Nothobranchius furzeri: one gene and its partner. The protein of the gene in region 1 purifies or fractionates together with the protein of each later gene. This does not show direct contact. Links are inferred from orthologs where the notes say so. Each region holds a gene or a part of one and is shown in the gene's direction. Other genes may lie near its edges.

Region 1 (3,817 bases):
GCCTGGTTGGAAATCCTCACCAAGTATGCCGTGGGTGAAGAGTGTGACTTCCTGGTTTGTATCCCTGCTGGCTTTTCCAAACCTTCCTTTTATGTAGCGGATGTGTTCTACATCCTGTTGTTTTTATTCCTTGGCAGGATCTTTAAAGCAAAACCACCCATGTTTCTCAACTGCCTAACGCAATTAAAGTATTAATGTATAGTTAAACAGGACAAATCTGCACAGCAACAAATGTGTCTTCATCTTTATAAAGTTGATCGTGATTATCCTGTTATCTTTTCATTGAGTTTGAAAAGCAGTCAAATATACATTTTACTGAGAAATTGTAAATTTAAATGCTTGTTTAATTATTTGAGATATTTAAGTTATTATGAAAGTTCAGTTTAGCAAATGTGACAGTTAACCTGCAGAAAATTGAATGAATGATTTAAAAAGAATAATTTAGAAACAGAATTCTGATGGGTCAAGCAGAAACCGAGAGAAACAGGGTAAAACAGGAAATAAAAACAAATAACTTATTTGCCAATTATAAGAACAAAATGATCCCTCACGGACGACCCACCGTTTTCAATCTGGGTCTAAGATTTAACAGCAAGCTTCAAAAGATGTACTCTGCTCTCTCCACCTATTCCACCTTCCTCAGGATCCACTGATTTCCCTCTTTCCTACTCACGCTTTCTTTACATTCTTTAATCACAATTGTCAATATTTTGCTCATTTTAAATATATTTGTAATAGTTTTCTAAATTCTTTTTTATATTTTACATTTTTTATTTCTGTGAAGCGCCTCGTGGTTTTTATCTTGAGAGGCGCTGTAGAAAATATATTTTCTTCTTGTGGCAGGAACATCCTGCTGGCAGATGGAGACGCTCCTCCATTTAAACAAGCAAAATCATGTCGGCCATGTGACTATTAAATGCGAGGTCTCACTTTATGAGCTAGATACCAGCGCCGACGCATCGGTGTTGCTGGACCCATCGCTATTTTTTTTTTTTACATATTACATGTTTTATGTAAAATGAATAAAATTAAAATAAAGCAAAATACAATAACATATTTTATAAATTAATAAACATGTATGTACATATATTTTGTTTTATAAACTAAAATGAAATGAAAACCTAATAAAAGGCTTTTATTTCTCTCCCAAATGATCGACCCCAGGTGGGGAAAGACCAAAGTTTGCGTGTGAAAGTGATGAAGGTTCATCCTTTAGAAAGTCCTGAGACTGAAGCAGGTGAGAAGAAGCTGGAAGGAGCTTGTGACTCCCCATCTAGCGACAAGGAGAACTCCAGCCACGAGAACCAAAGGAAGGAGCCTCCACCCAGAGAGGAGGAGAGCAGGAGGGAGAGTTTAAGTAAGAACCAGCCCACCCTCCCATATCGGCGACCTTGCTGCGTTGATTATAGAATATCATTCTTGCTCCTAGGTGACAGAGCACGGCGCTCTCCAAGGAAATCTACCACCGCTATGAAAGAAGAGAAGAAGAAATGGGTGATGCCCAAATTCCTGCCTCACAAGTACGACGTGAAGCTCATCAATGAGGACAAGGTTTGTTTGTCAGCAGAACTCAGTGTTGTAACCGGATCTGTTTAATGTTATGTACGGCGTGTAGCAGCCCTGCCAAGTTTTTTTATGCTGAATTTGAACATTTTCTTTGTTTTTCTTTCTGCAACAGGTGATCAGCAGTGTCCCTGCAGACAGCCTCTACAGGACAGAGCGTCCTCCAACCAAGGAAATCGTGCGGTACTTCATCAGGCACTATGCTCTGAGGGTGGGTAATGGAGAAAGCGCTCCCTGGGTGGTTGAAGACGAGCTGGTGAAAAAGTTTAGTCTGCCCAGCAAGTTCAGCAGCTTTCTTCTTGATCCGCACAAGGTAATCTAATCCCGACATGTTCTGGCAGCTGTCTGGATATCCGGGGTTCGTGCTTTTGGCTCAGCCTCGTTTTATACTTTTGCTTTTTTGTTTGAAGTTTCTGGCAGAAAATCCCTCCACTAAGCGTAAGAGCGTGACATCCCCCGAAGGCAAATCCAGCAAGAAGGTTAAGACGGGCGACACTCCCGGAGAAGACTCTGGGAATGGGAAGGGAGAGAAGAGGAGGAAAAAGAAGGATTCTCTGAGTGTACCTCTCAGTCCCACCATATGGGGTCATATGCAGGTTAGTCACTGGTTTCCAGATTAAGGCCCTGTCCACACGCTTTTGCCAGAACTCATCTTTTTCCTACCTGTATTATTTCAGAAAATCAAAATGAACGGCTCTCCACTCAAGGTGAAGAACTCTGGAAGTCCAAAGAAAGAAGGAAAGGGATCAGCCCCCTCCACTCCAAAATCTGCCAAGAAGCTGGGCGACAAAAAAGAGGGAAAGAAAAGTGGGAAAAGTGGCGATAAGAAGCTCAACGTCCTCAAAGCCTCCCAGAAAGATGATAAAACTGGTGGTAAGACGCCGAAGATGAAGCAGATGACTCTGCTACATCTGGCTAAGGGCACACCTGCAGGGAGTCCTAAAAAGAGAGCTCGCAGTGGGAGCCTGGGCACTCCCAAACTTGGAAAACCGCTGCCCCCTATGGCTCTGCATCTCCTCCGTTACTACAAGGAGAACAAGGACAAGGAGGATAAGAAGAACCCACTTTCTTCCCTCATATCAAAAGCTGCAAAGGCGTTATCCACTGAGGACCGGGATCGCCTGCCAGAAGAACTGAGAGAGCTGGTAAAGAAGCGTTGGGAGCTCCTGGAACAGAAGAGGCGCTGGGCAGCCATGAGTGATGCAGAAAAGGAGGTGGAGATGAAAAAGAGGCGCGCAGAACTCAAAGAGAAACTGCGAGAAAAGGCCAAGGAGAGGCGAGAGAAGGAGCTGCTCATCCGCCGAGAACAATCGCGTAGATATGAAGATCAAGAGATCGAAGGAGGGAAGACACTGCCCACATTCAAGCTGGTGGACATGCCTGAAGGGATTCCCAACACCCTGTTTGGCAGCGTAGCGATGGTTGTTGAGTTCCTCCACTGCTACGCGGGCCTTTTGATGCCCAATGATCAGTATCCAATCACAGCGTCGTCTCTGATGGAAGCACTGGCAGGAGACCGATGCGGTTTCCTCTACCTGAACCGTGTGCTGGTGGTGCTGCTCCAGACGCTGCTGCAGGACGAGCTGGCCGAAGGCTACGGTGAGCTGGACATGTCCCTGTGGGAGATTCCTCTCACCATGCATTCGGCGTCAGAGCTGGCGCGGTTGTGCCTGAGGCCGTGCGACGCTCACGAAGAGAGCGGCCAGGGATCGGAGAAGTCTGGAGGCGTGGGTGACTTTGATGACGTGGTGAGCAGCGAGTTCCTGGAGAAGCTAGAAACTGTGGAGGTGTTTGAGCTGAGCCCAGAGGAGAAGGTGGAGTTGTTGGTGGCTCTGTGCCACCGCATCCTCATGACTTACTCCGTGGAAGACCACGTCGAGTCAATGCAGCAGCGCTCCGCCGAGCTCTGGAAGGAGCGCCTGGCTGTGCTGAAGGAGGCCAACGACCGCAAGAAAGCTGAGAAGAAGATGCGCAAGGAGATGGAGAGCAAAAGTAAGTGGGCTCAGTTTCAGCTCAGTAGTCAGACGATGGTGTTTCAGCTTTGTTCTCATAACGTGTTATGTCTCGTTTCCTGGTGTCAAAGGTGAAAAGAAAAAAGACGGGGGTGCTAAAAAGGACATCAAGAAAGAAGTGAAGGTGGAGCCGGAGCCTGAGGACATGATCAGCTCAGTGAAGAGCCGGCGGCTGATGACTCAGCAGGCTAAGAAGGAGAAGGAGGAGCTGGACAGACAAAATAAAGGTGAAGCCTGAAGCA
Region 2 (3,689 bases), on another chromosome or scaffold:
TGACTCTAAACTTTTTGCTTTTAAATCAAGAAAAGACTGAAGTTCTCATCTTTGGACCAGAAATCCAGAAAAGGAAATTGCTTAGTCAATCACCTGACCTGAATGGCATTACATTAATCTCCGAGAACAAAGTAAGGAACCTTGGTGTTATCTTTGACCAGGACATGTCATTCAAATCCCAGGTTAAACAGGTTTGCAATATTTCCTTTTTCCACCTTCGGAATATTGCTAAGATTAGAAGCATCCTTTCCAGGAGTGATGCTGAAAAACTAGTTCATGCATTTATTACATCAAGACTGGATTACTGTAATTCATTACTCTCAGGAAGTCCTCAGAATGTAGTTAAAAGTCTTTAGCTTGTCTAAAAGGCTGCAGCTAGAGTTCTGATGAGAATTAAAAAGAGAGATCATATATCTCCTGTCTTAGCTTCCATTCATTGGCTACCTGTTAAATTCAGAATAGATTTTAAGATCCTTCTTCTCACATATAAAGCTCTTAATAATCAAGCTCCATCATACATCAGTGATCTGATTGTTCCATACGTTCCTAACCGAGCACTTCGCTCTCAGACTGCAGGTTTACTGGTGGTTCCCAGAATATGTAAAATTAGGATGGGAGGCAGATCTTTTAGTTATCAGGCTCCTCTCCTGTGGAACCAGCTCCCAGCTTGTCCGTGATGCAGACATCTTGTCTACTTTTAAGACTAGGCTTAAAACATTTTTATTTGATAGGGCCTATGGTTAAAATCTGATGTTAGCCTAAATCTGGACAAGTGGGGGAGTAGAGGGAGGTGGAGTGTACAGTCGGTAAAGACGGCTCTCCCTTGCCCTGCCTCCAACATGCCTACATCTAAAAGGCTAGATTATCCAGAGTTATCTCTGTAGTTATGCTGCTATAGGCTTAGACTGCTGGAGGATACACTGACCACTTTTCACACTCTACTACTTTCTTCTACAATCTGTTCTTTAACTGTATTATTTTCTGCAATTTCAGCTGTTAACTTTATTTTCTCTCTAAGTGTTTTTCTCCCCAGAAGAAGCTACAATGATGTTCTGCTGAGCTGTGGTGGCCTCATGGAGGGGGCCATCGTCTGGCACACTGCTACTAACCACTTAAACTTTTTGCTTTCCTTGACGTTGGATGTGCTACTGGTAGTTTATCCATTTAATTATATATCCACTAGGATAAATACAATAAAGTTTATCTCTCACCAAATAGAATATTTACTAAGAAATCACGATATAACTATAGACACATTACTTTGTCTTGTGTGTGTGTGTGTGTGTGTGTGTGTGTGTGTGTGTGTGTGTGTGTGTGTGTGTGTGTGTGAGTGTGTGTGTGTGCGTGCGTGCGTGCGTGCGTGTGTGTGTGTGTGTGTGTGTGTGTGTGTGTGTGTGTGTGTGTGTGTGTTCGCCTGCTCTGTCTTCTCGATCCCCAGTGAGTCGTGGTGGATGGCTGCTTATACTGAGCCAGGATTCTCTGGAGGTTTCTTCCTGTTAAAAGGGAGTTTTCCTCTCCACTGTCGCTTTATGCTTGCTTAGTATGAGGATTGCTGTAAAGTCACTGGCACTAGTCAGTGACTTGATGCAATTTGCTGGGTTCTTTATTTAGGAAACATTATTTCTCACTGGCTTAATGAACTGACCTGAATTGGAATGTTTATTATGTGAAGTGCCTTGAGACGACTCTTGTCGTGATTTGGCGCTATATAAATAAAATTGAATTGAATTGAATTGAATGTGATGATTTGTCTGAATTTTACTATAATATCTTGTGAATCTGGGAAAATTTGAACAAAACTCAGAGAAATCATCAGATTTTCCACTTCTTCTAATCCAAGATGGCTGCTACAGCTTTATCAAGCACAGATTATCATCCCCGTCACGTTCAAGTGATCAAACTTAATATTATTTGACCTTCAGCAGTCAAAGTACTTGAATTTACTTTCAGCAGAAATATCCATGGCAACCAAACTGATTATGCCTCGGGTTATCTTCAGGAAAAATTTTGAGCGGTTTGTGAAGGTTTTGAACCTGTAGTCGATTCAGTTTTCTTGCTGAAAAGTTATTTTCGTTGTGATCGTGTTGTGTAGATAAATGAGTTCAAACCAGATTGTTCTTTTGAACCAGGCATCTCAGTGAGCTCCCTAATGGATGGGATGGTTGTTCTGCATGTGCCGTGTGAGGATAACAAACAGAAGGTACAGCAGAACAAGGCACTCGTGTCTGTTTTCTACAGACAGCTACTTTAAATCCTGCTGGTGTTCCTCAGGGCGACGCTGTCATACACTGCAGCCACGTGATCGAGCTGGTGACTAAACTATCCATGCTGGCCGGCAAGACCAGCTACGTGAACGTCAGTCCTGGCAGGTGAGACTAGGGCTGCCTGGTTCATCTTGTGGGTGTGAAGTTTTCCAACATGATCTCCTGATGTGTTTCCTCCGTTGTGGAACGCAGCATTCGCGTCGCTGTGGCCCGGAACAAAGAAGGAATAATTGATTTCATCAGGGGTTCGGAGCTGAAGGTGGCCAAAGGCAAACGAGGACATCTGGTCGTGGTGAGTCAGCAACTGTTCTCGTGTCATGTGAGGAGTCTGCAGGGAGGAGGCATGGCTGCTTTTGTTTTGTTTGTTTTTAAAGAGAAACATTTCATCCAGCTGACTATCTTAAATCTGACTGGACTCCTCAGATTGCTCCTCGGATCGCCGCCACCTGAAGAGAACCAGATCGATCCTCCCACCCGAGGCACACTGTTTTTGTCAGTGTACAGCAGACAGAAGCAGACCAAAGAATGCAAAAATATACTCCACAAGAAGAACTATTAACTACCAGTAACTATTTAAACATTACAAGCTGGTGAAACAAACTTTTGTTTTGAAATCGCTTTATTGTTGGACACGCACACAAATGTAAAAATCTCTCTAACACTGTATCTCCTTACTCCTGGATAACTTAAGCAAACAACTTTTAAATAAATAACATGTCAATAAATAAGTCAATAAATAGTAAATATTTCGTCGGAAAGTCCAGAAGTTTAGAGTTGTGGTAAAAAAAAAGGAAACAGGATGTTGGGATGTCCTCTGAGAGTTGTCTCTGACTTCCAGTTAGAGGTGAGACAGAAACTGGAAAATACCCCAAAAAAATGTTTTGATATCACCGCTGAAAAGAATACCAGAGTCCCGAGTACCAAACTGTGTTAGTCCAACTGTGTTTCCCATTCTTGTTTTATGACATTCCAGCTTTTCCCCGTTTTTTCTGGCTGTTTTCCTCTCATGAGAGCGGTTTTGAAGCCAACAGAAGAAAGTCTCTTGCCAGCTTTGTGAGGTAAAGATCCAGGTCCCTCAGGACGATGTAGCCCTCCACTCGGCTGTCCCACAACGTTTTCACGCTTCCCTCTGGGTGCATGTGTACAATACTAAGTGCCGGCCTAATCCAGGAGTTCCTCATTAATTTCATCTGGATGAAGAAAGCAAAACAAAGATCATGAGAACAGATTTAGTGTCACTTCCTTTGTGGGGACATGCTCTAATGTTGTCGGGTGACAGTAAGACTGCGGATACCTGACTGCTGACTTGGCTCATCAGGTCCCGTAGATCCAGCTGAATGTGCCTGAAGTGCTGGATTAAACTGTGCTGGGTGGCGTGCACAGTGTTCAGCTCCATCTGCTCCCTCTCCAACTGTTTTCTCTTCT

What was found.
Region 2: the proteins of baz1b (region 1) and myo1ca purify together in Homo sapiens (affinity purification with western blotting; 3 studies listed by BioGRID, with this or other methods). This does not show direct contact. The link is inferred for Nothobranchius furzeri from reciprocal best matches to the Homo sapiens genes BAZ1B and MYO1C.

Annotation. Positions count from the first base shown.
Region 1 is NC_091753.1:33,342,956-33,346,772, reverse strand, and holds part of baz1b (tyrosine-protein kinase BAZ1B), read left to right. Parts: coding exon 1-54; intron 55-1,164; coding exon 1,165-1,357; intron 1,358-1,429; coding exon 1,430-1,551; intron 1,552-1,678; coding exon 1,679-1,876; intron 1,877-1,973; coding exon 1,974-2,159; intron 2,160-2,240; coding exon 2,241-3,555; intron 3,556-3,646; coding exon 3,647-3,802; intron 3,803-3,817. UniProt on the Homo sapiens protein: Atypical tyrosine-protein kinase that plays a central role in chromatin remodeling and acts as a transcription regulator. Involved in DNA damage response by phosphorylating 'Tyr-142' of histone H2AX (H2AXY142ph).
Region 2 is NC_091750.1:48,614,622-48,618,310, reverse strand, and holds the end of myo1ca (unconventional myosin-Ic), read left to right. Parts: intron 1-2,129; coding exon 2,130-2,200; intron 2,201-2,271; coding exon 2,272-2,369; intron 2,370-2,456; coding exon 2,457-2,556; intron 2,557-2,687; coding exon 2,688-2,714; 3' UTR 2,715-2,988; downstream 2,989-3,689. Other genes in the region: uncharacterized protein, read right to left, coding at 3,269-3,454, 3,559-3,689.